Linked DNA regions of Drosophila melanogaster. The protein of the gene in region 2 interacts with the protein of the main gene of each other region in a pairwise test. Each region holds a gene or a part of one and is shown on either strand. Other genes may lie near its edges.

Region 1 (8,260 bases), on a different chromosome or scaffold from region 2:
ATTCATATTGTTTTCCTAGGGTTAATTTACTTTTTCCCCACAATGTCAATTCTTCGGGCAGCAGGTGGTGTGCTCTTCAGGTGTGGGTGACAGGTGGGCAGGCGGGCGGGTGGTCACGTTTCCCATTCGAATTGGGGTCAGTTCGGTTATGAACGCGATGTTGGCCAACGTTGGAGGCAGCAAAAAAAAAAAAAAAAACCTGCGTCGGCCAACTTGACATTGATACAAAACGTCTTATCATCACTCCGAGGGTACGAGGGTATCGTGCGTCAGGCATATCAATGAGACAATCAACCTGCCGGGGGACAGGAAGCACCGGGCGTGTTAGTCACCAGCGGCACTCGATAAACACCCCTTAATCTCGATTGAAATCGTAAAGTTTGCGACAAATATCTTACAATGCCAATTGTAAACAATTGTAAACAATTCAAAGAACAATTAGGTGTATTAGGTGCATAGGGTAAATCAAGCAATTGTGGCTAGTTCAAGATGGTTACTAAACGACTGAGTCACGCATACGCCCCTGGCGCACACTCTTTACATGGTACTAGGCAATGCAATGCCACTACCACTACCACTTTTGGCTATGAATGAGCCGCGTTTGTTCGACCGTTTCTTTTATTATGGCCATGCCCTGACTCATAAATCAGCTACACTTGTGGCCATTAAAGCCCTCGAAGCCAAGTCAAAAGGCGGCAGGATTCTTGTGTAATCGCCAGCAATCTAGAAGACTCAAGCGGGAATTCTTCAGTTCGTTTCCTGTCTTTCAAACTCTATTTCGAATGCTAAGTGCGTAGGGAGTTTAATATTTCCTGCATATGAAAAGTAAGACTCAGCTACTGATTATGTTGCACTCGAAGGAAAAGTGCAATAATTGGTCGAAAATGAAATTATAGGTAAAATTAATCAACTGCAGAATTCGCGTTCTGCTTTCGAACAGAAGAATTCTTCTTCTTATGCTGTTAAGCCAATGATTTTATTTCCAGTGCCGGCTCCACTGTGGCTCTCGCATTTAATGCATTTCATTATTATTTGTTTTTATTCTCGTCGCTCCCTTGTTCTTATTCTTTTTTACTTATTCTTGCGTACTGCTTAAATATGAAAATTCTTATTATAGGTCAGTTCGCGTTTCCCTTTCAGCTGCACAGTCTGTTCTTCTTCTTCTTCTTCTTCGTGGGCTGTCGATAACGTAACGCACGCCTAGTGATAGTGATAAGTCCCAGTAAAACATACTAAATGCACATGCATACATACATACATAAATATACAGATTTGTATATAGCGTGCTGGTCAAGGCGCTTTATCAGCCTAGTGAATAGCAAATAAAATATAAATGGCTATTGTAAAATCGCAAAAGGCGTTCATTCATTAAAATGCAAAACAAAAAATAGAAGACGAAGAAGTGAGAAAGATGTAAACATAGCCATATGCTCCCCCATGGATCGGAAAATATATACATATGTAATGTACATACATACATGTATATTGGGTCTGGAAAAAAAATGGACTGCTAGATTCCAAGAGCTTGCTTCGCTAATTTAGTATAGATATAAACAAATAGTGGTTTGGGTAACCAACTTCATTTTAAATTCAGTTTAATCGAATTTTGGATGTACGGCGAATGAAATTTTGCTGAACATGATACCATGATAGAAAAATAGTTGGATGCAAGTTTTTAAGGAGGCTTTATGAGCCTATTTTACTATACAAATAACTTTTATAATGCAACTGGCAAATTGGAATGATCTTTATTAAAACGTACAAAGTTTTTTGGAAATACTTGTATGAACTTTTTTGTACACATAACAAAGTGTGGAAAGTTTTTGAAGATGCCGACTAATGGGTTAATGCCCATTATATGTATATACATAATTGATTATATTTCTCTAATACAAAGCTGTGGAATATGCGGACAAAGCGTTTTAAAGTGATCCTGGTTTCGTGCAGTGTATGAGGGCAAGACGAAGAAAAGCAAAGTGAGAAGTGGTGCAAAAAACAACACAGGAAAGGAGATAGCAGAATGGGTAAGAGGGGTGTGGAAAGGGGTGGGGAAGGAGAGCAAGATCGGATGGTGTTAAAAATAGCTTTAAGCTCGCCTTGTAACGGTACTCCTCGGGAGTTTCAATTTGTGTGTATGTTTCTGCACTTGCGTTTTAGGTGCAATGGGTGCACAAGTGTTTATTTGTGGGCTGCAATCAACACACACACACGCACACGGAATTCAGCTATCATTGTTTTCCTTTCTGTTTTCCTTACATTTCTTGGCTCTTTTTAACAGTTAAGCAAATACCGATTGATATGACAGACCAAACGTTGTTATTCTTTTCATCGCTCTCCCTCCCTCTCTCTTTCTCTGTTGCCAGGTGTCACGCACACCTGTGTGATTCATCTTGACATTCCTCTGTGCCGTCTTGTTGTTGTTGCTCTGTTTTTATTTTTTTTTTTGGCGGCTGCTGCACAAGCTTTGTGTGGAGTAACAGCTGTTAGCTTAACAGTTTCGGAATAATTTTCAATTGGAATTAAAAAGATATCAAGTAATTTACTAATCTATCTGCAAAGAATTTCAATAGATCTTACAAACTGAAAACAAGATTCAAAATATAATGCAGATTCTTAAAACCTCTATAGGATGTTCGTTCGACGGGTGGGCCGCTGGTGATTGCACAACCTGTCACATCGAAGGTCTCTTTAACCCGATTCAACGGTTAACTTGTGCGTCTAGTCAGTTATCAGTTATCAGTTGTTGTTGTTTTTGTTGTTGTTGCTACTGAGGCATTTCGTCAGCGCAGATATTACAGATCGACCACAGGGAGACGGATAGATGGGAGTAGTGGTAAGGGGGAAAGGCAGATTACAAAATTAAGCACGTTTTTAAATTATATATATGAATGCGAATATGTACTTATTGCGAAAGCGACAGGCTTTTGTTACTCCTCATACTGATTGCTTTTAGTACCCTGTACTAAAAAAAGGTATGCTAACTTTGGCGAAATCTGATCAGCATTTAGTTTCAAAAAACGCAATCAAGCCACTGTTTACAAGCTTTCTTTAGGAATATTAAACTTATAAGGCTATCATATGCATATATCCATGCCTCAGGTATCATATAGTCGATAGACGATACCCATATGATCTGTATTTAGTTTGCGCAGGTGTCAGCTGTATTTATTCTCACACTTTCGAGGCATTCCTTCCCGGTGCGTCACCCGAAGATATCAAATCATATCAAGTAATCTCAAGGAGGAGAAGGCGAGGAACCAAAAGGAATCATCTCGGAATCGCGATCCCCACTTGGGCGGTCCTTAATTACGCGAAGGGAGTGCCTCCCGCCAGGCAATTGCTCCCCGCACAAGAATTCCAATACAAAAGGAAGACTCAAGCGTTAATGATAAGACCGCGGGCGCGGCGCGGGCGGAGGCGTGGCAGATCAGGGAACAGGCCCATAGCTTGTCTTCCCGTCTGGTCATTCGCTCAGGCAAATCAATTACAATATAGACATGATAATAACTCCACTGCATCCATGGGCCCATGTAGACGGGGGAGCAGTAGAGCAAACAACAAACAAGAAAACACAAAACTTGGACCAACAGGAGGGCAATGGGCAATGGACAATGGGCAGTGGGTTCTACAAGCTCTACAAGATAAATTATGGATTTGCTCCCAAAGGGCTCCCAAAGGGATCGGGTCAACGGCGACGTCTGGAATGCGAGTCTAAGATTAACCGATTTCAACTTTTGGAAGGCGGAAATATGAACAAGTTTTTAAAAAACTAGGGCATATCTAAAATAATTGTTTTCTTTTTTAAGTTTAGTGAAGGTGTCACTTGCTCAAGGTATAGTTTCCTTTCTAGGATATCAAAGTTCTCCAGTTGTTTCATACAATATACGTTATAATTAGAAACGTTTACTATAATATTTTAATATTCATCACATAATATATAATGTGTGACTTTTGTGAGCAAACATTATCATTAAACGTGTTTTCTTTTAATGAAAACCCGCAAATGTGCATTTCAAAATAAATTATTTCTTAAAAATGGCATTTTTGTTCTAAAATGTTATAAATTAAAAAAAAAAAAAAAAAAACAGGAACTTTGAACACATTGCCAGCATTAGTTTATTGAACTTTATTGACGATTTATCCGCAATAACTCGATCATAAACAACTTGATATATTGCAGTTTAAGGCAGCGACTACATTTAAGCCAAGTTCACTTTCATTTGTGATTCACAAATCTTATATTCGCACGCGATTTGACGTAGTTTGATTTGAATAACGATTAAGCCCGGCTTAGACTTTGTTTTTAGGAATTCAAGCGCAACATTTTCACTGGGTTTTCCACACAGCCACTGGAATAACTCAACAGCCAGATCAAAAAACGTTAATTGCAATTGTACTTTTTTGTTTTGTTTGGTTTTTTTTTTTTTTGCATTTGTTAATGATAAAATGGTGTTCTGGTTTTGCTCGAAAGCTATTGGGGAAAAAAAACATATATATAACAAAAGGCTGTGCGCTGTGGAGAGCTTTTTAAAAGGCCCGGCTTTAGTGGGGCAGAAGTGGAAAACCATATAAACAATAACAAAAAGCAGTTTCAGTTTAAATGTTAGATGTAGTCGAGGGTCGCTGGCTTGTTTGTTTACGCTGCTGATTTGTGTTGAAATGTTGAAATTTTGAGAAGCACCACTTACTTTATGGAAACACGGCTTGAAAATTCTAAATATTATGTTTTACACGAAGTTCAATGGCACAAATCGGTTAGCACGAAACGAAAAACAAACAACAAAAAATATGTGTGCACAAATGGGGGGTTTTGTATTTAATAATTTGTGATATATATTTGAGCGCGTTTAAGTTTGTGGTGTTAGCCTCGCGGAGATCGGCGGAGCTGCGATCCAAGCACCAGCAAGTTCCGTTCAAAACTGTCGACTCGTCGGTGTGGGCCAAGTTACTGCGCCCCTATCACCACAGTCGCCAATAACAATAGCAGTAGCAGTAACTGTTGCAGTAACAGTAACAGTACCCAGCTGTCGCAGCATTGCGCTCTCCGCTCTGTACCGCAACACTCACATCCAATCCGAACCGAACCGCTCCGCTCATTACTCTCCCGATCTTGGGGCCTGGAGCGGAGCGGATGGGTTTCACTGTTAACAGTTAACGCTGGGAGAGCGCGATCTCGACTTACGCACACCCTCGCTCAGGAGGCTCGCTGAGATTTTAAATTTAAATATATATAGAGCAACATGAACAATACATATGTTACATTCTATTATCTGTCTATTGGTGGAAATGGAGTATATTATCTGATTAATCAGTGTTGTGGTGATGATAAATATTACTCATAAAGCTGCACTATTTCATCGTTATTTTCAAAGTATTCATTTTAGTGTGACATTTTACATTATGTTAACACTACGCAGCAATAATCTGTAAACTTTCTTTAGGCAATCTTTCATTCTTTCAAACTTTCCTTAGAAAATATTTCAATTGTGCCCGTTTCTATTAACCTGACTTCATGTATTGATATTTTTTTATTCATATAAGTACATTGTCTTTCAGCCATCTGCTTGCTATATTAAAGTAACTATTCGCTTATGTCTATAGTTCCTAAGATGTAAATGTAAATCGTCTCATAAGCATTAATTTTACAGCAAAAAATAAAATACGATTTTAAATTCAAGTTCGTTTGGAAAAACATTTCCGATGACTAGGATATAAATTCAAAATATTAACGCTATTAAAACGTTACATTTATCCATTGCTTAAGTATATATTAATCGTAGTTCTGGACGTGAGATGTCGCTCAGGTATCTACGATTCCGGCTAGGTTGACTGCCCTACGGATGTTCCTCACACACATGCCGTTCGAGATCGATGGCCCGGAAGAAGGGCCGCACGCAGAATTCACAGGTGTAAGTGCCGTGTCCATGGCCGCGATCCGTCTTTATGTGATCGGTGAGGTGGCACCGCTGGGTGAATCTCTTTCCGCACGTGGGACACAGATGCGGTCGGTGGTCCAGGTGCAGACTGTTAACGTGCTTCTTTAGGTGATCAGCAGTGGCGAAGTCCGCCTGGCAAATACCGCACACATGACCGCGCAAGAGGATGTGAACACGTTGCAGATGGGACCGCAGGGCTTCTCGGCTGCCATGGCTCTTGCCACAGTAGCAGCAGTCCAGGGCACTGCGTTCGTGAACCTGCTCCAGGTGCCGCACCAGGCTCAGACTGCCGGGGAATCCGTTGGCGCAGAAGGGACACACGAAAACGCTCGGCTTAGCGTTCACAATGCACGACTCCTTGTCCAGGTCGGTGGGCCAGCCAAAGGTGAGATCGTCGTCCCAGTCGATGCTGGGCAGTATGTTCTCAATGTTCTCCTCTAGCATCTCAAGATCCTCCATTTCATCAACCTGGCTGTCTGCAGGGATCGGATTGAATAGTATTATTAAGCAGGGTATGCCATTAACATCACAACTACTCGTAAGCAGAATACCTACCTGCATCACTGGCCGTGGACTTCAGGGTACGCAGGCGATGCACCTCCTCGGCGTGCTCCTGCAGCTCCAGCATCCCGCTAAAGGTCTTAACGTCGTTGCAGTTGTCCGTGCACATGTCGCAGTAGAACAGCGACTGCTGGCCGTGCCAACTGGCAACATGACGGTAAAGAAACGTGGCTGACGCGTACTTCTTGCCGCACTGCAGGCACAGGAACTGGCCATCGTTGTGCTTTCGCTCCCGATGCCGCTCCAGCCGGGCCTCCTCGCCGAAAAGCGTCAGGCAGTGGGGGCAGACGAAAAGACGCCTCACCCTGACGGAGCACTGCTGCTCGTGCCGCTTGGCGGCCAGATGACGAGAGAACTCCGCAAAACAAACGCCGCAGTGGTACGTACGCTTCTTGGCCGGCTTCTTCGCCGCCAGCGGCAGGGCTCCGCGGTTGCTCGCTCCCGGCGCTTTTGGCCGGATGGGCACCGGTTCCATAATTTTAGCTTGTCCAATTAAAATTGTTGTTACAAGCAAAACTGCTCGCTGACTATCGATATCGGAAGGCGCGATTTGTTATCGATTGACCGCAAGTGCCGGGAAGCCAAAAGTGTGACTGCAGCGCGAAAGCTGAACAGAATATATCAATAAGCGGTCACATTTACTTACCGAAGTGTTCAAAAACAAAAATCAAACATTTTCAAATTAAATTCTTCATATTCCCATTGAAAAGAGCCCGCTCGTACATTTTCGTCACTTGAATATTTATTGTACTTCATTTAAATCATTTTGTATTTGAATTTTTTTTACATACTTTTATGGTTTTTAATTTCATCAGCATAATTCAATAATATATAGTTTTTGTATAGTATAATAATTTTATAACACGTTTTTCTGCACTGTGCAAATAATTTTCCCATCAACTTCTATTCAATTAGCGAATTTCCTTTTAGTTATTTGCGTGATGGAGTGTTGATATTCAAATTTCCTTGAATTCTTTAGTACAGTCTACATTAAATTGTTTTACATTTGATTTCATTTACCGACTAACATTTTGTTGTATATTCTTTTTTGGGTTTTTTTTCTCAAAATAATTCATGTTTTTAACACTTTTATAATAGTATAAGCTGTATACACTTATAATAAATGACTTGAATACATAATAACAAACGCCTCGGTTACAATCTTCAATCTTCACAACTGTATTCATGACCCAGAATTTACATGGCGTTACTAAAAGCTCTGGAATCTTATGTATTAAGCATATTGTTTTGCGCATTCCTGTCCTCTAATCAGTGATGTGAGCACTAATTATCCAGAAATTAAAGTAAATATTTGCAGGGCAATGCCACCCACCTGACGCGTGAAGTAGTACACACTTATGTAATCCATTAAACATACATAGTTATCGAATTCTTTGTTCTTATTATCAAAATGGCGCTGTGGCGGCTCAATCAATCCATCGGACCTCTAATGGTTCCTTAGTTCTATGCTCATCCGATACTCAAAAGTTCAAATAACACAATGGTACAACTTAAACACACAAGCAACATTTTTGGTTTCGAAATTCCAACACTACAATCGAAAAATCGCAGCCAGTTCTAAAAAAGACCTTTTTTCGATCATCACAAAAATGTAACAGAACTTCTTCATATTAAAAATGCACTTTAAAGTTAAACACTTGAATCGAGAACGTATGATCTTGTATTTGCATTTTCTATCAACTGGGACGATTTTTGCAGAATGCTATGGGTGGGGGTAATCACTTAAATGCACATCAAACGTT
Region 2 (7,557 bases):
CACACGGGAGCGAGCGCCCGGGGGCTCGTTCATCTGGCCAAAGACCAGAACCACCTTCGAGGAGTCATCCTCCAGGGAGATGACCTTGGACTCGATCATCTCGTGGTACAGATCGTTGCCCTCGCGGGTACGCTCTCCTGCGCCCACGAACACGGAGTAGCCGCCATGGGACTTGGCTATGTTATTGATCAGCTCCATAATGAGCACCGTCTTGCCCACGCCGGCGCCTCCAAACAGCCCGATCTTACCGCCCTTTACGTAAGGAGCCAGCAAATCAATCACCTTGATGCCAGTGACTAGGATCTCTGGCTTCACGCTCAAGTCGGTCAGCTCCGGGGCTTCGTTATGGATAAAGGAGTAGAAATCCGACTTGACCTCACCGCGATCGTCAATGGGATCGCCCACCACGTTGAGGATGCGTCCCAAAACGGCCTTGCCCACCGCCACACGGATGGGATAGCCGGTATCGAGGACCGGCTGACCACGACGCAGTCCTTCGGTGGAATCCATGGCCACGCAACGGACGATATTGTTGCCCAGATGGTGGAATACCTAAGAAATCGATTAATAGAAGTTAAGTTTAATAATTTTTAAAACTTTTCGAATCTTTAGAAGTTATGTTAAAATCCGTTTTAAAATTTTAATTAAATATTAGATAATATAATATGAATGTCGTCCGTCTTAAAATTGGTTAATCCTTTGACTTACCTCCAGCACTAGGTTAGCAATGGGAGCATCCTGCACCTGGAGCGCGTTGAGCACCTCCGGAACCTCCTCCTCGAAGTAGACATCGATGACGGGACCGATGACAGCATGGATGACACCCTTGCGACCCTTGCTCTCCAGCTTCTTGCCTCCGCCGTCGGACTTCTTTTCCTCACACTCATCCTCGGCTTCATCCTTCTTCTTAACCAGTTCCGCGTCCGTCTTGCAGACTTCCTGCGGCTCGGGCTCGCACTCATCGCCCGACTTTTTCTTATCCTTGTCATCCCAAAGGGACAGGGAGGCATGAAGGTAGCGGGGAAACACCACAGGATTACCAAGATAGTTGCCCCGGTAACCCCCGGTACCCGGGCCCATCTTCAGGCCAATCCTTGCACATGCTAACATGGTTTTTTTCATTTTCAGAGGAAGCTGGTCATGTGAAATAGGTTCATTCTTCTTACCTGTAGCCATTTTAGCCCATGATACCAACATTTTTACTTTAGTTTTTTATTCTTTCGCTGCTTGGACGTCTTTGCTGCAAATAAAACTTGCTTGTAATGATAGATTCCTTTGACAGATGACAGCAATGCCTACTATAAAGGATTCCCTTAATGCACTTTAAATGGGTTGTCACCTATTTATTTTTTAGGGATATTTGCTTTCTAAAACTTCTTAAAAGTTTGCAATATAAATCCTAAAGTTTTCTTAATTAATTAATTAATATAATATGATTTCTTATATTTTAATTTATTTTCAGGCTGCATTAGATTAAGCTTGGATTCATAATCGATCCTCAGATATGTTTTCCTTTAGCTCTATTTTAGGGTTGAGTCAGTTGGTTTCCAAGGATACCGATAGCCACAAAGCTCTGAAGCCAAAACAGTAAGGTTTTCAAGCTGATGGAAAATGGACGTACTATCGCATTACAGCTCACCCATAGTTGAATTTCCGGCCACGCAGCCTTTGGAGAAGCAGCATGCCCTGGTGGACAACTGTACGGGCACCGATCCACCTCCTCCCAGCCAAGATGCCGCCACAGGAACGCAGGAGAAGCTGCATGTGGCCACACAAACAGAGCAACGAGTAGTTAGTAGTAAGGATGTGGAATACGATGAGAGGGCTTTGGCGAAGTGGTTGCGACAGATCTGCCCCATGGTCGAACGGGAGCTAATGAATCCCACGCCTCTGATGGAGGATCTAACGATGAGCCAGTGCCGCTTGGAGGAGAAACTGCAGGTGTACACGTACCAGAAACTGATAATGGGTGGTGCAGAAAACTCGCAAGGACTGGCTATCTGGCTGTGTGTGCATACGAATAACGCCCCAGTTCTGGTGGCCACCACTGTAGCTCCCCATGATGACTGGTGCGAGCATGTGGATCAGCAGCTAAAACTCTTTGTTCCCCAAAGAATGTCCGTTGGCAACTTGGTGATTTATACAGAGGCCAAAACTCTACCCCTAAAATCCTGTTTGCGAAGTCTGTGCACAAATCCGTTCAACAAGACCATGTTCGCTGGTTCGACCATGGACGGAGAGCTCTTCATCTGGTTATATGAGCAGGCGAGGGGTTCCGATTCCAGCGTCGATATCAAACAGCTATACAGTGTATCCTCCACCCAGGGAGCTGCAGTGGCTCTGGACTGGCCGCGGGAACATCTTCTGTTGGCCTGCTTTGCCAATGGCAGCGTTCGCCAGTGGGATTTAAGCAGGCAGATGGCTCTGGATTGGGAGTGAGTCTCTCTAAACACTAAACGAAACATTTCCCGGCATTAATCTTAAATATTATTTAATTAACTTCTCCAGATACACCCTGCCCGCAACGGTTAGCTCAGAGCCTACGGCAATGGTGACCCTTGGTCTGGATGACTTCGTCGTGGGCACTAACGATGGTGGCGTCTATCGCTGCTGGAACACCGGCCGGCAAACCGCAGCCATCAAGCAGATCAAATTGTTGGCCCTACGGCGACATCGATTCATGGTTTCCACCCTCCTCCGTACCGAAATGGAGGGCAACCTGTTCGTCCTGAGCTGCGATCTCAGTGGACAGGCCTTTTATCACGATATGCGGCTTGTGGATGAGGTGATAACATGACAAACAAACGAGCTGAACACTATTTATTTTCTCTTAAATAATGAACAGGACATGGCTCAGTTGATAGTACAAATTCCACTTCCCTTTAAAAACGTAATCGCCTGTAGTCGGGATGGCAACATCATCTTTTGCCCAGCCAATGATGGGTCACTGGAATACTATAGGGTGAGCGATGGAGCCCATGCCCATGTCAAGGGAGGACTTCGCGGCAAGGGAAGCCTTATCCGTAGTAGCGACAATGGGTGAGCTAATAACGAAGGAAATCAATAAAACAACAAATTTGAATAATAATTATCTTACAGACGCTGGTTAATTGCAGGCCTCTATGGCGACGAGTTCCAGATATTCTACGTAGAACACTAAATAGTCGTATTGAATTTTGTTCTCAGTTTTGAAATAATCGCTTGTATTTGCATGACTGCTTATGTTAATATGTACGGTTTTATCTTCTCTTAGGTTTGGTATATACACAATTTTATTTTAAAATTTCTCAGATCTCTAACAAATACCACATGTAAATATAGACTATGTATTGTATAAACAAGACATTTTATCTGTGTAGAATTTTGAACAAAATGCAAAAACGTAAAGCCATTTCGAAAATTTGGCGTAAAATAAGACTGCATTCTCTGTGGGAATCTCGTTAAAACCGCGTTTTCACATACGATTCACAAAATAAAATGTTCCTTTTACAACTATAGATCATTTCATAGTGTTATCAAGCTGTATGTGAACATATAAAAAGAAATATGCTGTGTGTAGAAAAGTGCTAGAATGACATAATTACAAAATGGCAATAAATGAATACACTAAACTTTTATAACCATTTGCCTACAGTAAAATAAATTATACAATTAACATTAACGAGATATATGCGATATATAAATATATAATAGAACTGCACACAATTTTGCTAAATCTCTCACGTCCGAACGTCCGATCCTATCTGTCCTAATCACGCGATTCCACTCTAATCCATTTCAGTCCACTTTGCATCCACTCGTTCAACTTTTCACTTAAGCTTAGATTGCAATCTGCATTTTGCACATAGTTCACATAATAATAACTAGAAGCAGCGCTCGCCCAACTTCTGATTGGCTGATAAATTCAGTTGAAGAGCACCGTATTGGGATCTTCGTTATCCATCTGCTTCACATGGCGCAGCACATCTTTCTTTGTAATTACGCCCAGTAGGCGACTGCAATGGAATTTGGATTAGATAACTTGAAACTGGTTAAACTGCTTCTGGCCACAAACTCACCCGTTGTGTGTTACCAATGTTTGGCGCAGTCCCAGCTTTCGGAACATGTCCACTACCGTCTCCATTGGCGTTTGATCTGTAACTGTGATCGGTGCCATATCCAGGATCTTTTTCAGCTTCAGCGGCTGGGGTCCCAGATTTTGAATAGGCTGGGATGATGTGAATAATACTATGGAGCTGCTGCTAATGCCCTCGATTAGACGCTTGGCATTGCCTATAAAATTTGTAATATTTAATTATGCAACATGATCTCGAAACAAGTTGTGACTGACCTATGGCCAAGTTAAGATCCCTGCGCAATACAAAGCCCACTAAATATTGATTCTCCCGCGACACCACCACCGGATAGCCATTGTGTTCCGTTTCTTTAAGAAGGTTCTCAACATCGTCCACCGTCATGGAGTCTTGGGTAATGACATTCAAAGTTTCATTCCGCCTAAAATGAAGTTTTTGTTAGATGATCTTGAGGAAAAAAAGGTTTTCTTTATACATACTTTGGTTGCATCACATCTGCGGCCAGTGTTGTATGCGCAAACTCTTCTTTGCTGTCTAGGAACGGATAACCATTCAGCGCAATGTGCGCATCGTAGATACCTTGCCTGCCCAGAGCATCACCCACCCACTTGGAGGCCATGGCGGCAGCCATCAGGGGCACAATATACCGCACTCCGCCTGTTAGCTCGAACATTATCACTACCAGGGAGACGGTCATTCGAGTGACACCTCCCAGCACAGCTGCTGCTCCCACAACCGCATACAGTCCGGGTGTGATAAGATTGCTGTCCGCACACTCACCGGTAAAGAACCAAATATTGGGATAGCTGTAGGCAAACTGCTCCACACCGATTCCAACAATGCGACCCATGATGGCGCCAAGGAGCAGGGACGGAATAAACAGACCAGCGGGCACTTTCATGCCAAACGTGAAGATGGTCAGGGCCAGTTTAAGTATAAAGGTGAGCATAAGCAGCCAAATGGAGCTGTACACACCAGGACCTGGCTCCGTAACTTCAATGAAACTGTTGCCCGACGTGATGTTCATGCGCTTGTAATCACTATAAGGAAATATGTAGTTATTATAAAAAAAAAATAAAAAATAATTATTATTGAAAAAACGTACCATAACGGATTGGTGACATCTCCGGGTGAGCACTTGCTAACCAATAGGAATATTAGCTCGTTCATGTTCATTCGGGTAAATGGATTGGGGTAGCAAATGATGGCAGTGACCAGGGTAACGAAGAGCACTTCCATTACTGGATACTGTCCGAGCTTGCTGAACTTCCTGTAGCGGCACCACCACAAATTGGCCTTGATGAAGAATGTGCCAATAACACCCTACAATAAATATTATGTTAATAAATTGTAGAGCTTCAAAATTAGTTCAGATTTACCCCCATAATTCCGAGGAAAACAAAAGGAATAAGTTCGAAAAAGATCCAGGGCTTGTTATACTCCACGAAAAAGAGCACGGAATGCTCGTTGCCAAACGGCGTCAGTGATCGTAAAACGAATGCGGCAATCAATGCACAAAAGAATGAACGCCACAATGTCTTCAATGGAAAATAGTATGACACTTCCTCCAGCGAAAAGAGAACTCCACCGATTGGTGCTCCGAAGGCCACCGAGACGCCTGCCGCTGCTGCTGCCGAAAGAATCTCACGCTTCTTGGCCTCATTTCGACCATATTTTGGGAAAACATGTGAGAATATGTTTCCAATACAACTGGCAATGTGGACCATGGGTCCTTCCTTGCCCAAAGTGAGGCCAGCGGATACAGACAGCATCAGACCCACCGATTTGATCAGCAGCGTCCACTTTCCTAGATAGCCGCGTATAATGAAGCCAGACAAGATGGTCTTTATCTCGGGAATACCAGATCCGCAGGCGTAGGGCGCAAACATTCGCACAAGGGAGGCGCTGAGCGAAGCAAAAAGCAAAGCCCACAGCACATACCAGATGTAAGCGACGATATATGGTCCGGTGCCATTTCGATCCAAACCAAAGATCTCTGGCCAGGTTTTCCACTGAAAATAAATGCGGTTTTAGTGCCTTATCAGGAAGAAAATGTAGTTTCACTCACCGTCGAGCAGTTGCCTTCTTCAAATACTGACTGTTTGGCCGGATAGCAGCATTGTTCCCTGTTAAACCAAAAGGCGGGTGGACAAATGCCATGCTTTAGATCCGACATCCAACTAGCTCCAATGTCCACCATGCCCGCCACACAGCCTGCGGCAATTCCGACGAGTAAAACACATAGCCAGCCAGATCCGGCATCAATGGAACCCTTTAAGTAAAATGATTGATAAGTATGGTGTGTTTTGAATCATAAACGATCTTATACCTTTATCAGATCCCACAAGGAGTCCTGTCGCTTCTTGACTATGTAGCGATGTCGCATCCGATCACGGGCAATGTCCCGCTGCCAATCAATGGTGTGAAAATCTTCGTACTGCCCAATGCCAGGAATATCATCTTGCACGTCCGAGGAACCATAGAAGGATAGTGCTCCTATAGCAATAATAAATAATACAATAAACATTACGGATTTGACACAGTAAGCTCCGAATCATGTTGTCGTAGTAGCATTACACGTGATTACGCTAATTCTAATGGTTTGGTGTCAAAGTCCAAAGAGAACCAGAGCCTTATAACCGCAAAAATTTATAGTATTTTTCTCGTGTTTCATTCAGGTATCGAGACGAAGAACGTTTACGTTTTCTTAAACAGATTCCTCGAATAAAGTTCTTACAGATATTACTCGTTCTAGCGTATTGTAAACATTGATTGCTATTATCATCAGATATACGATAGTATTTACCCAACAACTATAATTGATTCTTTTTCGTTTAAATAAATAATTCCCAATAGAAATGCCAGCTGGTTGTTTAGACAACTCAGTGATTATATTGCTAAATTAGCATCACGTGTGTAAATGGTGATTGTATTAATATACGTATGTACATATATCATGAAGTTAACTGGTGTCTCCACAATACATGTCTGTATGCTAATGATTGTACATATTAATTGAATTGCCAGCGAATGAGTACAGCTGTGAGCCGAATATTCGGAACCGGCAATGCGGCGAGGTGACGTCGCCTTACTCAAATGTTCGTGATCTTGATTAACACCACAGACAGCAACATTGGATGTTTTACGCAATGGATCTCTCCGAACTCACCGTCCATAGGATCGCCGAAGGCACTGTGAGTTGGCACATGCTGGTGCATTGTCCGCTGATTGTGGTGATTGCCGCCGCCGTTGCCGCCAGAGTGTCCGAAATCTCGTTCGGTGTCCGATTCGGTGGCCGTTTCCCGGTGATAGCCACTGCTGCTTCCTCCTCCTCCGCCGCCGCCGATCACATCGCCTGGACTGGAGCGGGGTGTGATGTCAATCATATCCTCGTCGTCGGTGCCCGCCGCCGTCAGCGAGGTGGTCAGTTTGGTGTGCTGCGCCAGCGGATGGTCACGAAAAGTTCCGTCTAGGTCGCCGTCGC
Region 3 (7,253 bases), on a different chromosome or scaffold from region 2:
TGAGGATGGCAAGATCTCGTTCGATGAGTTCTGCTCTGTGGTCGGCAACACGGACATTCACAAGAAGATGGTAGTCGATGTCTAAAATAGGTTTAACGCAGATCCTTTTCTACGCGATGTTATTTATTTATTTTATACACGTCGGCATCCTTCGATTGTCACTATCACCACTATTCATATGGTTATTATTTTTGATCGGCGATTCTCTATAGTTAAATATTGTTATGAGCCTTTGGCGAGCCAGTTCAGTTAGTCAGTCAGTCAGTCAGCCAGCCAGCCAGTCAGTCAGTACAGCGATCGAAGGCTTAGGGAGAAATCGCGAATGCAATGTTGTTATCCTAAGTTGAAAAGTGGAATAATGCGCCTCCTACTTACTTCTTAAATATATTCATCTATATACTTATATATAAATGCATATATAGTCATAATTTATTATACAAATATACATTTAAAGAATTCAAAAACCCCAGAAGCAAAACTAAACTTAACTAAGGCGGAATCCAAGTTCGTGCAAGCAAAGGCAAATAAAGCAACCCAAGTTGAACGAATGCTCTATCGAATGCACTTTCGCTCTATCATATTGATGTTATATTTCTAATTCTCCTGTGATTTTGCCAAAAACAAAACAAAAAAAAAAAAAAAAAAACAACAAAACCAATCGAAATGCAACAAATCGAAATATGAAGTGCTTATGATGAGAAAGGACAGATGCGCGGGGCAGCTAAGCAACCTGCCCGAAGGAGGTCTCCTCTATTGACTTAGTCTTATTTACACGTTGTGTACTTTTTATATATTTATACATACCTACTTGTACTAATCGAATGTTATAACCTACGTAACGTATTTTTATATATCTTGACTAACTTGATAACACCAGAGGAAGGCGACGTTTGCCAAGTTTCTTAAGTCTATCTTAACCAATTTCTAACGCCACTTAACTCAAATTAATCAACGATTCTCACGCAGAACGTAGAACGCCTCGAACGTTTTCTAAAATACGCTACATTTTGCAGTTTATAACGCGAGTTAACTGAAAATCGAATAGTTATTATACATCAAAACATACATATGAAGCAATGCCGTGCGGTGATATTGCAGTAACATTTTTTTATACCTAATTATACTAGTTAAAGATGCAAGAAAACCAAATAGTAAAACGCATGTTACAAATTTTACAATTAACAAATTTTTGCACACTCGCCACTCTCAATTCGTTAGCTAATCAATTAAATTCCATTGCATTATTCAAAGTAATCGACTCGAGGTCGTATCTCATTGTAAAATGGTGTAGCCACAAGTTGGGAACCCATCGATAGATAGGCCCGCATGGATTGCCCAGTTAGCTGGCCAGTCGAAGCAATAATAAGCGAATCCTTCAATAAAATTATAATTATACACTAACCAACAAAGGTTTTCTTCAATTGTTGTTGCGCTGGTGGAGGAGCTACAGTACAATATGAGATTAGATAAGGTCTGCGGCAAAAGCTAGCCTGCTCACCCATCACCACCATGAATACTCCCGTCCAGTTTAGTTGTGAAATAATCGGCGGTCTGCAAGTTACTCTGCGATTTTGGAAACATGTGGAAGCTGGACACCAAAGGAGGAATCATCTGCTCGGGCTGCCTGTCCATAGCCTTTGCCATAACCTATCTGGTTTTGATGGACGATTACTTCTGGAAATGTAGGCGCATATACATACCAATCTTGGATATCTTTGCGATGCATAGAGCTATTTCGTTTCAGATGGACTCTACGAGATGGGAATACACATTTCGGCGCTGCAGATCTTGGGAAGCGTGGTCCTCATCGTTGGAGCCATAAAGGTTAGTTAGGCACACTGTGCACAGTCCACAACACTCTTATCTCTTATCTCTTTGCTCTGCTCTTTGCTGCATACAGCAAAAGCACAAGTTCTTCGTGCCGTGGATGATAACCACAGGATTCTTTTTATACCTGATGGTGAACCTGTTCATTTCACTGATAGTCCAGGGCACAGCTTGGATCTTCGGACCATTGATGGTCGTTCCGTTCACAGGTGAGGAGTTAACGCAGCCAGAGATTGGACAGCCAATTAACCAAAATCCTTCACTTTCAGCCTATCTGGGCTGCGCCCTGTACTCGGTGCAGAAGGCCTTCGACAGGATGCGCAAGGAGGAGCCACCGGCATATGCCAGCTTGTCCGACAAGAAGGAGTTCATCAATCACATATAGATACATATATAAGCAATTTCAATACAAACAAAAAAAAGATTAAAGGTAGATCAGATAGCTGGAAAATAAAAGCTCATTTTAAGTGCTATTCAAACGAAACAAACCCACAAGAAATCGGTGTAAATTTAAACTTTTCTAAAGTTTATTACAATTTGCAATGGGAACTATAAACTTTAAGGCAATCACTTTTGTGAACTATTATTTTCAGTGTGCTCTGAAAATATATTTGTTATCTTTTTTCTGCGAAATTTCGTTTCCAGCTCACATCTCTGTTATCTCTGACAAAGGTAATTCTGTTTTTTTTTTACTTTTATCATTTGGCTTTTAGCAAAGCTTGTTTTCTATGATGCACAATTTTATTATCCCTTTTGCGGTGCCTATATATCCCACAAAGGCTTTTATGTATATGCGTTGTATATAAAGCAATGGCTGATTAGATAAGTATTAAAAAAAGCTTTTTAGTAATGGAACAATGGATCATTTGCGAACAAAACGCCCATCGAGGAGTTGGAAATGTGGAAACCGGACTCCAAGGCGGGCATTATTTGCTCCGGGGCTGCATCGATCTGCCTTGCGATCGCCTACCTCATCATATTCGCCAACTTGAGGGGTACTGAACGGGGGTCAAAGTTCAAGAGCCAGCACATCTAATACCAGTTTCCCCGCAGAATTATCCTACGCATTTGGAGTTCACATAGCGTCCATGCAGATTATCAGCAGCGCAGTACTCATCGGCGGAGCCATCAAGGTCGGCCATACTCCCAATGCAACTTCCAATTTTTCACCCACATTCTCTCATCGCAGGAGAGGCACAAGCTCTTCGTGCCCTGGATGATCACAACCGCCATGTTCCTCTACTTAATGGGTTACTCATCCATTGTGCTGCTGGCCATGGGCGATTGGTTAATCGTCATGTTTTGCGCAGCGCCAATGATAGGTACAATATAGAGATTAACTTCGTCCTTCAATAAATCCAAAAACTACTTTCAGGCTGCCTCGGAATGGCATTCTATGCGGTGCAGAAGGCCTTCCGCAGGATGCGCAAGGATGGGCTTCCACCGAAGTATGCCGACATGCAAGTCAAAAGTATTTTGGTGAATCCCATATGATGCATTTTGCCATTTACAATTGTTGGTTTATCAAAAGCATGATGCTTCTGAGATATGGTTATATATTTTGTCTTTACTAAATGCAATAATTATATATAATATGGTGAAGAGCATTTTTAGTGGTGTTATTGTATTTATATATTACATTCTATAATATACAAATTAATACTGAGAGTTTGATTTGTTGAAATTACTTTTCCATTTGATTTACCATCAATATTTTTATGATTGTTAAATGGAAATTCTATTAAGCCTTATAATTTGAACAGAAATAGCTCAAATAATAAAAGCTACATATTTTTTAAAAATATCTTAAGCTTAGCATTTGGAAATTTAGAATGACGGCATTTTCAAATATCCCGCTCTTTGCAGCCCTGGTTGATGCTAATCGATTCAATTCTGTAATGCCGATAAGCTATGTACCAAGCAGCAAGCATATGTGTATGACCTTTCGTGACCTTGGTTATGCTCATAAGAAAGCCGCTTTGTATAAGAACGCAGGTCGATATATGAAAACAAACCCTTTATCCACCAAAAAGTATAAAGTATATATAAGCTATATAGTTTATATGGTCTGAGTTCAATTGGTCGTTATGTGTATTTATGTTGTTTTGCCGAAGAATCCAAATCCGAGACAAACAAACAGCATCCGCACAGGTTTCAAAGTGCAGCGATAAGAGAATATATTTGTTCGTTATCTTCGAATTTCGAGACTGCCAGAGTTGGCAACAACAAACGTACATACATACATATGGTATGTACATAAATAGAAACATCGTTCCTTTGGGATTGGGATGACTCTCCCAGGCGAAGCACAGATACTTATTTGTGTATTCACTGCATATCTCAGCAAGTCCGCCCGATATAACCTTCACACGCCCTTGGGCTTACACAAGCAACGTTCTTCATTCGATGCACAAGTTTTATTTTTCAAATAGCTGGCATTTAAATACAGTAACAGGGCGATACTTTATTCAACAACAATAAATATGTAGCTTTGCGTAATTATGGCTATTTTGTGCATTTGAAAAAAAAGCATCCTCAATTGCGCCCCTTGCGGATTATGCAACAGTGATTCCCGACCAGCTGCTGGGCGCCGGGTTTGTACGATAGTTTTGGCTAGTTTAGTCCTTGCTCTGCATATACTTGATCAGGTCGATGACGCGGTTGGAGTAACCGAACTCGTTGTCGTACCACGAGATTAGCTTGACGAACTTATCGTTCAGCGAAATGCCAGCCTTGGCGTCGAACACAGACGAATGGGTGTCGCTGAAGAAGTCGGTGGAGACCACCTCCTCATCGGTGTAGCCCAGGATTCCCTTCAGGGGTCCCTTGGAGGCCTCCTCGACCTTAGCCTTGATTTCGTCATAGGTGGCTCCCTTGCCCAAGCGGACGGTAAGATCCACAACGGAGACATTGGGCGTGGGCACGCGGAAAGCCATGCCGGTCAGCTTGCCGTTCAGGGCGGGGATGACCTTGCCCACAGCCTTGGCGGCTCCGGTGGCGGCCGGGATGATGTTCTGGGCGGCGCCACGTCCATCGCGCCACAGTTTGCCAGAGGGACCGTCGACGGTCTTCTGGGTGGCAGTGGTGGCGTGCACGGTGGTCATCAGACCCTCGACGATCTCGAAGTTGTCATTGATGACCTTGGCCAGGGGAGCCAGGCAGTTGGTGGTGCACGAGGCGTTGGAGACCACCTTCATGTCGGGGCTGTAGGCGTCCAGGTTAACGCCGCACACGAACATGGGCGCATCGGCGGATGGGGCCGAGATGATGACCTTCTTGGCGCCGCCCTTCAAGTGGGTGGACGCCTTGTCAATGGTGGTGAACACTCCGGTGGACTCCACCACATACTCGGCTCCAGCACTGGCCCAGTTGATGTTGGCCGGGTCGCGCTCGCTGAACACGGTGATCTTCTGGCCGTTCACCACCAGGAATCCGCCCTCAGCCGCAACGGTGCCCTTGAAACGACCGTGAGTCGAGTCGAATTTAAACAGGTAAACCATGTAGTTGACATCGATGAAGGGATCGTTGACGGCCACCACGGAGGCGCCCTTATCGATGGCGGCGCGGAGCACCAAGCGGCCGATGCGGCCAAATCCGTTAATTCCGATCTTCGACATGGCTGAGTTCCTGCTGTCTTTTCACTTTTACTCTCGTTCAGTTTCAGTTCGCTATTACGACTGCCGCTTTTTCCTTTTCCCGGAGCTTTTTTCGCAAATTAGGAGAATGGCGCTGCGATGGCGGGGGAGGGTTGATGAGTATTTCGCTAGCTTTCTGCGTAGGTCACACTTAAATAAAGCTAATGTGAAATAAATCGATTAGAATTCCATTTAAAACTTTAATTTTTACAAAGGGTTTGATTATATAAGCGCCTTAAAAAGAGCCTCTAACAACTAATGATATATATGGGTTGTAGGACCCTTTACGTAATTAAGTTTATACAAAAATTAGCATTGTCAAGTATAAAATTCCTTCATCTTGCACTAAAGTTTTTCTTAACATTGTTGCCAAGTTAGTTCTTTAAGTTCTAGAGCTCTTCTTTCAATTTAAAAATATTTATTTTACGTTTTTGCCCTTAGTTTGAATTCAAAAAGCAACAATCGATAGATCGATACTTTTCGATACATGGTCACTCTAGTTTGAATTGAATTGACAACAAATAGCTCTGCGAAAACGAATCTGAGTTTTGGCGAAAATGGCAGCCGCAGGAGAGGCAATCGATGGAGTCTACTCCGTCCGGCTGGTCATCGCGGATTTCTATATGGAGAAGCCGCAGTTCGGAATGGATCCGTGCTATTCGGAGCTGCGCGGCAAAGAAATCAAGCGGGTGAGCCGGTCTATTTCACCACAGTAAAAACTGGTATAACGATCCATTCCACTTCCAGGTGCCAGTGATTCGAGTGTTTGGCGGCAACTCCAGAGGCCAGAAGACCTGCATGCATGTACACGGAGTTTTCCCCTATCTATACATTCCGTATGACAAGAAGGATTTTGAGTCCCTGGAGCGGGGCATCCTGCAGATGGCCATGCACCTGGACAAGGCCATCAACATATCCTTGGGTCAAGGCAGCTCCAACGCCCAGCATGTGTTCAAAATTCAGCTGGTCAAGGGCATGTGAGTTCTTTCTGGACGACTTCTTGGCGTAAATCTCTAACCGACCTCTCTTTACAGACCCTTCTATGGCTACCATCGAGTGGAACACCAGTTCCTCAAGATCTACATGTTCAATCCCCGGTTCGTACGCCGCGCCGCCAACCTTCTCCAAAGCGGCGCCATTCTGAGCAAGAACTTCAGTCCGCACGAGTCGCATGTGCCCTACATTCTGCAGTTTATGATCGACTACAATCTGTACGGTATGAGCTATGTGCATGTCCCGCTGGAGGTTCTCAAGTTCCGGCGCAACCATGACGATGACGGCAAGCTGGATACATCATCTATTTAAGTTCCTAACTAACCCGTAACTAACCCTTTAGTAATCCCCTATGCAAATGTCAAGCAAGCGCAGCTTCTGGACATCACAACCGCTAAGAAAGTGGCCTGCAGTGCTTTAGAGGTGGATGTCAGCTCGAACTTCATACTGAATCGGTTCCAGCTGGTGGCGAAGAGTAAGAGCAACCACACTAACCCCGGCATCGAGGCCATCTGGAATGATGAGAAATTGCGCCGACAGAAACTTGTCGAGAAGCACACCGATGCTGGCGATGAGGAGAAGGCTGAAGCGGTAATCCGGGAATACATCTTGTATTGATAAATCCTACAGCCTTGTCCATCCATCGTAGGTGCCAGTATTGGAGTTACCGCCAACACAGGAGCGGCATCAAATTGAAATCGCCGAAAGCGATATCTTCTACCGCACCGCTCTGGAGAGCAAGCTGATGACACTGGAGCAGTCCACACTGTCCGAGCAAACGTTGTCGGATCAGACAAT
Region 4 (7,057 bases), about 11 Mb from region 2:
TAATTTAAAAATTTAGTATTATACTTCGATTTAGTGTTTTGTGTAGAGTTTCTTGATAGTCTCAAAAGTGTGTAAACTTGGAATTTGTAGTTTATTTTCTGGTATATTTAATATTTTCAATTTGTTTAAGTAACTTTTGATATAAGTAACTTTTGATATAAGTATTATAAGTAAAATAAATACTGTTTAATTATATTTCATAAAAAAATGCGTTTAATTAAGCAAAGAACCCTTAATTTCTACCTTTAAAGACAAAAATTCCAATTATTTCACAGTGTGTACAGTGACAAACTGTAATCATAATAAAACACAAACTTTGACTTACCTCCGCGCTGTCTGAACTCATTTTACCCAATGACAACATGAAGAATTCTGAGCACTCTGAACTACTATTACTATCATTGGCTCATTCATTCTTTAAACGCATTCAGTGAGTTCATTTAGATCGGAAGCTTAAAAGAGAACGCGGCCAACTGAATGGCATGCATTGTGAATACGCAGTGAAACGAATGAATACTCTAATTGAAAACAAAGAGAAGGTGTTATGCAGCACTCTAATATGTATGTCGCGAGCTATGTGGCACTGGCGGTATTGCAGTAGAAGTATTGCCACTGAGGAAAGAAATCAGTTCGACACAAATAATCGGTACCCAGGGGACACCACGGAATTATTTGACCTTCGAATCGACTTGAAATATTATAATGTCAAACATTTCCATTTTCCCCAATTTAGCTATTTTTCTAACTATTGCTTTTCATTTTTATTATATTTTTTTGTCGTTTTTGGCATTTATTAATTATTTTCAGGAGTCAATTATTTAAATATCTTTTTTATTTTTCTCTATCAACTATTACAGTCCACTTGCTATTCTTAAAAACAAAACATTTATAATTTTGTTTAACATATCCGTTTTATACGCATAACATTCATTCTTTACATAAAACCATAATGAGAGAGCACTACTTTTATTTGTGCGCTTAATGCATTGCTCAACAAAAAATATTTTTGTATACAGTATTTTCATAAACTTTTATGAGTATTTTGCAAATATTAAAAAATATATCAAAAATAGATACGTATCGCAATTACTATTCGAGCTTTCATTTTTGTACTATACTATTAAATATTTAATAGTATATATTTATATTTATATTTATTCAAAATGACTTTTATTGAAAACAAACTCGGTTATTAGCGAAAATTTAAAAAAAAAATCGAGTAGCTCTGCATATAGTAAGCTTTACTCAAACGGATTAGAGAAATTAAAAGGAAAATTAAAAAAGTTTTCTTCCCACCATCAAATTGGAATATAAGAAAATAATTCTACTGAATCTAATTTAAATTTAAAATTTAAAATTTAAGTCAAAAGACTTAATAAATATTTTACATAATTAAAGCATAGACAAAGGGAATTATTATAACTGCTGTAATTTGAATAAATAAATAAACCATAAATTTAAAAAAAAAGTCAGTACATTGAGAAAAAAAATATTTCATAAAAATAAAACATAGTAGAAAATAAATAAAAATATGAAATCTGTTTAGTGCAAAAGTTATATCTGGAGGCACTGAGTGCGGACACAAGCTATCATCAATCATTGTTGTCATAATTTCTCACACCTCGCAAACGTAATACTCTAATTTGTGACATTTAAATAGATTCGGTTAATACTACAATATTTCTATGCTATATTTAAATAATAATAGCACTAAGGCAATGCAGAGAAAACATATTTCACATGATGCCAATTGACCGAAATTATTATAGTTATTATTATAAATTAGTTATTATATAAATTATTATAGTTATTCTAGTGCCAGCAACCGGCTGCAGAGCTCTCCGGTCTCTGGCTCTGACTGTTGTTATTCTAGTGCCTATGCAAATAACATTTGTCGCTTATGAAATTGGTTACTTTCAAAACATTTTTAAATCTGAACCTGTATATCGGTATCAAAAATATAATCGTGCATGATCCGGTAATCGAATTCGTATGAATTTTATGATTCCGCTTTTGGTCGTAAACCAATTTTGACTTTTGTCTGGCCGAAATGTAAAAATGCCTTTTAATACCCGTTATTTGTAGAGTAAAAGACTTACTGGATTCGTTGAAAATTATGTAACAAGCAGAAAGAGCGTTTACGACTATACAAAACATATTATTGAACAGGATCAATAGCCGAGTCGATCTAGCCATGTACGTCTGTCTATATGAACATCGAGATCTCAGCATACAGGTTCTAGAGGCAAAGACGCAGCGCAAGTTTGGTGACCCGCCCACTCTAACGCACGCAAACCTCCAAAAACTGGCACGCCTACACTTTTGAAGAACGTGTTGTTTATTTTTAACATTTTAATTATTTTTATAATTTTTTTTATTTGCAACAAAATTTTTTCGCACTAGCTGAGGAACGGGTATCTGATAGGCGAGGAACTCGCCTCCGATGTGACAAGCACACATTTGCTGTCGACAACAACAAATTTCGATTTGCTAAGGTGTCGCTAAGTACGTCGTCAAAAGTTATTGCGGGAAAACGAAACAGGCAGGTAAAAATATTTATACCATATATTAAAATGCTTTCATTAAAAAATAAATAAAAACTGTGAAAAATGGGGTAGCTATTTTGTATGAAAAACAATTGCAAACAGCAATTTCTGCGTCCGTCTGGCTTCAAAACAAACGATTTCAAATATATAAAGGATATCTTCACGTTGTTTGATTTTGACAAAGAAAAAAGTCAGTTGTTTGAGCAGCAAGAAACGAAATAAAGCGAAATAGCATAGAAATAACGCATAGCACTATAGCAAAAATTATTTGAAAACCAGAGCACCTAATAACGAAATTAAAAGACTTTTCCCAAATCGAATGCGATAAGATAAATTAACATGGAACGGAACATGCTGGGATGTTTTAAAAATAATACAATTCTGTGAGAAAGGGGTATAATTCCGTTTTACAATGTTTCATGCATTAGGGTAAGTATATCCCAAAGCAACTCTGAGCTTGTTTGTCGTGTGATCCAACTCATTGCTTCCTTCTTTTGGAATATTTCCGTGCTGTAAGTTGGTTGTGCATTCGGGTCAATAATTTTTCTTTAGTACGAGATCATTTCGGAAATAAGTTTATATATTATTTTCGGTCCTTTTAAAATGTTTTTAAGTTTGTATGATGATTTTTTCCATGCACCACTCTGAGCTCAGTGTAGATTATGGATATCTGACGGATGTTATGTTCGTTTTTGTACTCACATTGCTATGTAACATTGATACGAATTATTATCTGTTCTAGATTGTAATATGTACAGTTTAAGAAGTTGATGGACCGATGATGTGACAGTTATAAAATAAATAATGAATTTGTTACTAGGTCTATCAAATTGCAGAGATGGGGGCTTATCGGTACATGCAGGAACTTTATAGGAAGAAGCAGAGCGATGTGATGCGCTACTTGCTACGTATTCGCGTTTGGCAATACCGCCAACTAACGAAATTGCATCGTTCGCCAAGACCTACTCGCCCGGATAAAGCAAGACGTTTAGGATACAGAGCCAAACAGGGGTTCGTGATTTATAGAATCCGTGTTCGCCGCGGAGGTCGCAAGCGTCCAGTTCCCAAAGGATGCACTTATGGCAAGCCGAAGAGTCATGGTGTAAACCAGTTAAAACCATATCGTGGTTTGCAATCCATTGCTGAGGTAAGAAAAAACGAAATTTGCTAACCACACGTTCGAACAAGTTGATGACAACCCCTTTTGACATACAATATATGTTGACATTAACTTCCTTAGATGTCTGAAATATTCTTGTCCAATTAAGAGGTCCTCACCAAAAAACACTGAAATATATCATGAATTTTATTTTCTTGTAGGAACGTGTTGGTCGTAGACTTGGCGGCTTGCGAGTTTTGAACTCGTATTGGATTGCGCAAGATGCTTCTTATAAATATTTTGAAGTAATCTTAATTGATACTCATCACAGTGCTATTCGTCGTGATCCAAAAATTAACTGGATCTGCAAGCATGTCCACAAGCATCGTGAATTGCGTGGCCTTACATCAGCTGGAAAAAGTTCGCGTGGCATTGGCAAGGGATATAGATACTCCCAGACAATTGGTGGATCTAGGCGTGCTGCTTGGAAGCGCAAGAACCGTGAGCACATGCACAGAAAACGATAAATTGTGAAGCATTTATTTTATCGGTTAAATAAAGCACTTCGTGCACGCAAAGAACATATCTAAAAAATATATTTTTTGAAAAGAGCTTTTAAACGCAAAAATAGATATAGTAACAGGTTTTCGCATTTTTGGTTTGGCATATTGGTTTATTAGGAATTTTGGTTTAAAATATAAAATTTCTTTCATCTACATTAACTTCCAGTTTTTATTTTCAAAAATGTACTAAGACCATTTTTCGGCAAGACTCCAATTCTTTTACAAAAAATTTTAAAATATATGCAAATAATCCCTTTTTCGTTTAGCGGATCTAACAAAAAAGTACCTCAAGGTTGAGCAAAAAATCTCATTTGAACGACGATGGGCACGCAAACGTATTTTTGCTTGTTATAGCTCTTCTGCTTCATATCTAAAAAATGCCATATCGAAAGATATTGGAAAATGAAACAATATTAAATTTAAAAAAATGTTCAAAAGCGAGGGCGTGGTTGTTTTGGGACTTATGTAGGTGTAAGAACGGGCGTGGCGGCTTGTATTTAAATAATATTAAAACGTTTTTTGAAAAGCTTAAGCGTGACAACATTCGGAAACACAATTGCGCTGCGCTTATTGTGTTTCTGAAAGCTGCAGGCTTAATCTCAAGATTTTACCCTTTATAGTTCCTAAAATCGATACGTTCATACGTTCAAACGAGCATGGCCAGATGGACTCGGCTATTGTTCCTGATCAAGAATATGTGCATTTTATATGGTTGTAAACGCTTCCTATTACCTGTTAAATTCTTTTCAACGAATCTGGTATAACCTTCTACCAAAGACACTAGAATAACAAGATGCGTAACGGCCATACATTGCTCTCTGTCCGCTCGCTTACGCTTACGCATTAATCTATTCGGTTCACTCTACTTTGGAAAAACCTGAAAAAAATTAATACATTTTTTTCCATTTTTTTTTTAAATTTAAAAATAAGCCTTTAAATGATGTAAAAAGCCTTGTATTATGTGGTTTAAATAATACAGTGATAATTAAGCATCGATGTGCATGGGCGGGCACTAGCTATGAAATGAATGACAAGGGAGACTTAATTGCAGGGCGATCTGCAAGAGTTCGGGAGCCATGATGCTCCCTCAGCTTATCTACATATGTATACATATATGTATGTTCATAGATGAGCATGGATTTGGACAATTATGTCACCAAAGTTTACAATAAAACAATTTCAGAACTGCTGGCGACTGCGAGACCAATGAGTTCCTTAATTTTTGTAAAATTGTTACATATAGTGCAAATCGCTCTATTTAGATTACGATTTTCCTTTAATTGGCAAGTTCTCTAATTATACGTTACTCTTAGAAAGAGTATAAAGGTTATAAGGGTATTAGCTTCCAATCAGTATATAAATGTTGATTTTTTTGTAGTGTAAGTAGATTACGAAAAGCGGAGTATCTATAGGCAAGAGTTTTCTTAAAAAACATACTTCGGAAAACTTCTGGATGTTAATTTAATATTAATTATACATTTTTCCTCTATGATTACCGCCAACTCCAAAAGCGTCAATAAAAAGTTAATTTCCTTTTTTCTTACAAAAATTAGACAACTACATCATATATAAATGAATTAGTTACTAGTGTTATAGAGTAACTAAAGTTGCCGTTTAACGTCCCAATGAAAGACGGAGCGATTATTTCGTTACAATTTTATTTGCGGAGACTGAAGCTACCAGTGAAACCGCAACACATATCGTTGCGGATTAATGTTCATAGCGGCCACGCAAATATATGCATATATAGCATTATGCATACTTTGAAGAATGCGGTTTCTGTCGCTTATTTTATCTGGCCGTCCGCGGACGTTAACTTTAGTTGGAGGACGCCCTCGGCCGACCTGATTCCGGCAATCGCCACATTCAATTGCCTTGTAGCTCTTCTGGCCCTTAGGATACGCCAGCTCACGAGGCCAACGCAAAATAGCAGACAACATACTGAAGCCATGACAAGTGCCACCTGTTGTGGGCGATCAGCGTCGATCTCTTCCTTGAATTTCCGGATTGTCTCCAAATTGCTTTCACTCAGGCGATGAAGGTAAGGGAGGCTGAGCACATTCTGCGCAGTGCGACACGCCGCCAGCGTGGAGCTCTCTGGCACATGAGCTGCCCGACGACAAGTGACAAAAGGCGGTGCTGTTCGAAGCCGTGCAGTCCAAGACGGTGTAGACTTCGTTATTACATTCAGCGATGACGTTGTTGGTGATTCGCAGCACGACTCCTTGGTGGCTAACGGGGAAAATAGTAATCTTTTTGTGGACTGAAGCACTTTTACGGACAACACGGACATGAGGTCTCCTATGGGGGTGTTCGTGGGCTCCTCAAGCCAAAGTCTGCGTGATCGAGAATATTCGGGATAACGATATTTTGAAGCTCCATCATAAGCATTCTATTTCTCGCCAGAAAGGTTTCATACAAATGATTGGAGTCAATTTGTGACCCCTTTGCCGTCTTGAGAATTACGTTGACTGTGGAGGTAAGTTGATTTATCTGGTCCTGAACTTAAGTGTTTATTTCTATTTGCCTATTGTTCGCGTCGATCAATCGCGCTTCTAAAAATTTACTCCTCTCTAGATCGCTAGCATCTGGTGTGCCAGCTACGACTTTTAGCATGGAACCCAGAAAGTCTAGGCTTCTGGCCACCCTGTGGTGCAAGCCTAATGCATCCAACAGATCTTGGAGGTGTCCCGTATCCACACTCAGGAAATGCTTCATGCGTGACCGTGGGAAGTGTTCCATTAGGGCGATTGTCTCTACCACTACATGCGTGTACTCCAAAAGGTTACGTAGGCAAACTCCTCCCATACCAGATTCTGTCCGTCGAAGATGGGGATGTATTTGCCGCG

Evidence for each region.
Region 1: the proteins of CG13074 (region 2) and Pvf1 interact in a two-hybrid assay, tested with the Drosophila melanogaster proteins (one large-scale study listed by BioGRID).
Region 3: the proteins of CG13074 (region 2) and Gapdh1 interact in a two-hybrid assay, tested with the Drosophila melanogaster proteins (one large-scale study listed by BioGRID).
Region 4: the proteins of CG13074 (region 2) and RpL15 interact in a two-hybrid assay, tested with the Drosophila melanogaster proteins (one large-scale study listed by BioGRID).

What each region holds. Positions count from the first base shown.
Region 1 is NC_004354.4:18,829,375-18,837,634, reverse strand, and holds the start of Pvf1 (PDGF- and VEGF-related factor 1), read right to left. Parts: upstream 4,954-8,260; 5' UTR 4,689-4,953; intron 1-4,688. Other genes in the region: CG7101 (uncharacterized protein), read right to left, coding at 5,835-6,412, 6,492-6,972.
Region 2 is NT_037436.4:16,091,544-16,099,100, reverse strand, and holds CG13074 (uncharacterized protein), read left to right. Parts: upstream 1-1,607; 5' UTR 1,608-1,611; coding exon 1,612-2,435; intron 2,436-2,508; coding exon 2,509-2,785; intron 2,786-2,845; coding exon 2,846-3,039; exon of another isoform or gene 3,040-3,044; intron 3,045-3,097; exon of another isoform or gene 3,098-3,099; coding exon 3,100-3,160; 3' UTR 3,161-3,333; downstream 3,334-7,557. Other genes in the region: ATPsynbetaL (ATP synthase, beta subunit-like), read right to left, coding at 1-552, 709-1,103, 1,167-1,197; ClC-c (chloride channel-c), read right to left, coding at 3,905-3,995, 4,059-4,272, 4,331-4,494, 4,553-5,113, 5,179-5,396, 5,453-6,085, 6,142-6,345, 6,403-6,569 and 1 more.
Region 3 is NT_033778.4:7,787,677-7,794,929, forward strand, and holds Gapdh1 (glyceraldehyde 3 phosphate dehydrogenase 1), read right to left. Parts: upstream 5,705-7,253; 5' UTR 5,445-5,704; coding exon 4,446-5,444; 3' UTR 4,225-4,445; downstream 1-4,224. Other genes in the region: CanB2 (calcineurin B2), read left to right, coding at 1-85; CG12825 (uncharacterized protein), read left to right, coding at 1,580-1,682, 1,745-1,824, 1,901-2,036, 2,097-2,212; CG12824 (uncharacterized protein), read left to right, coding at 2,726-2,822, 2,881-2,960, 3,017-3,149, 3,203-3,321; PolZ1 (DNA polymerase zeta subunit 1), read left to right, coding at 6,020-6,151, 6,210-6,439, 6,497-6,741, 6,799-7,046, 7,105-7,253.
Region 4 is NT_037436.4:27,264,226-27,271,282, forward strand, and holds RpL15 (ribosomal protein L15), read left to right. Parts: upstream 1-3,029; 5' UTR 3,030-3,298; exon of another isoform or gene 3,299-3,366; 5' UTR 3,367-3,384; coding exon 3,385-3,693; intron 3,694-3,728; exon of another isoform or gene 3,729-3,798; intron 3,799-3,866; coding exon 3,867-4,172; 3' UTR 4,173-4,220; downstream 4,221-7,057.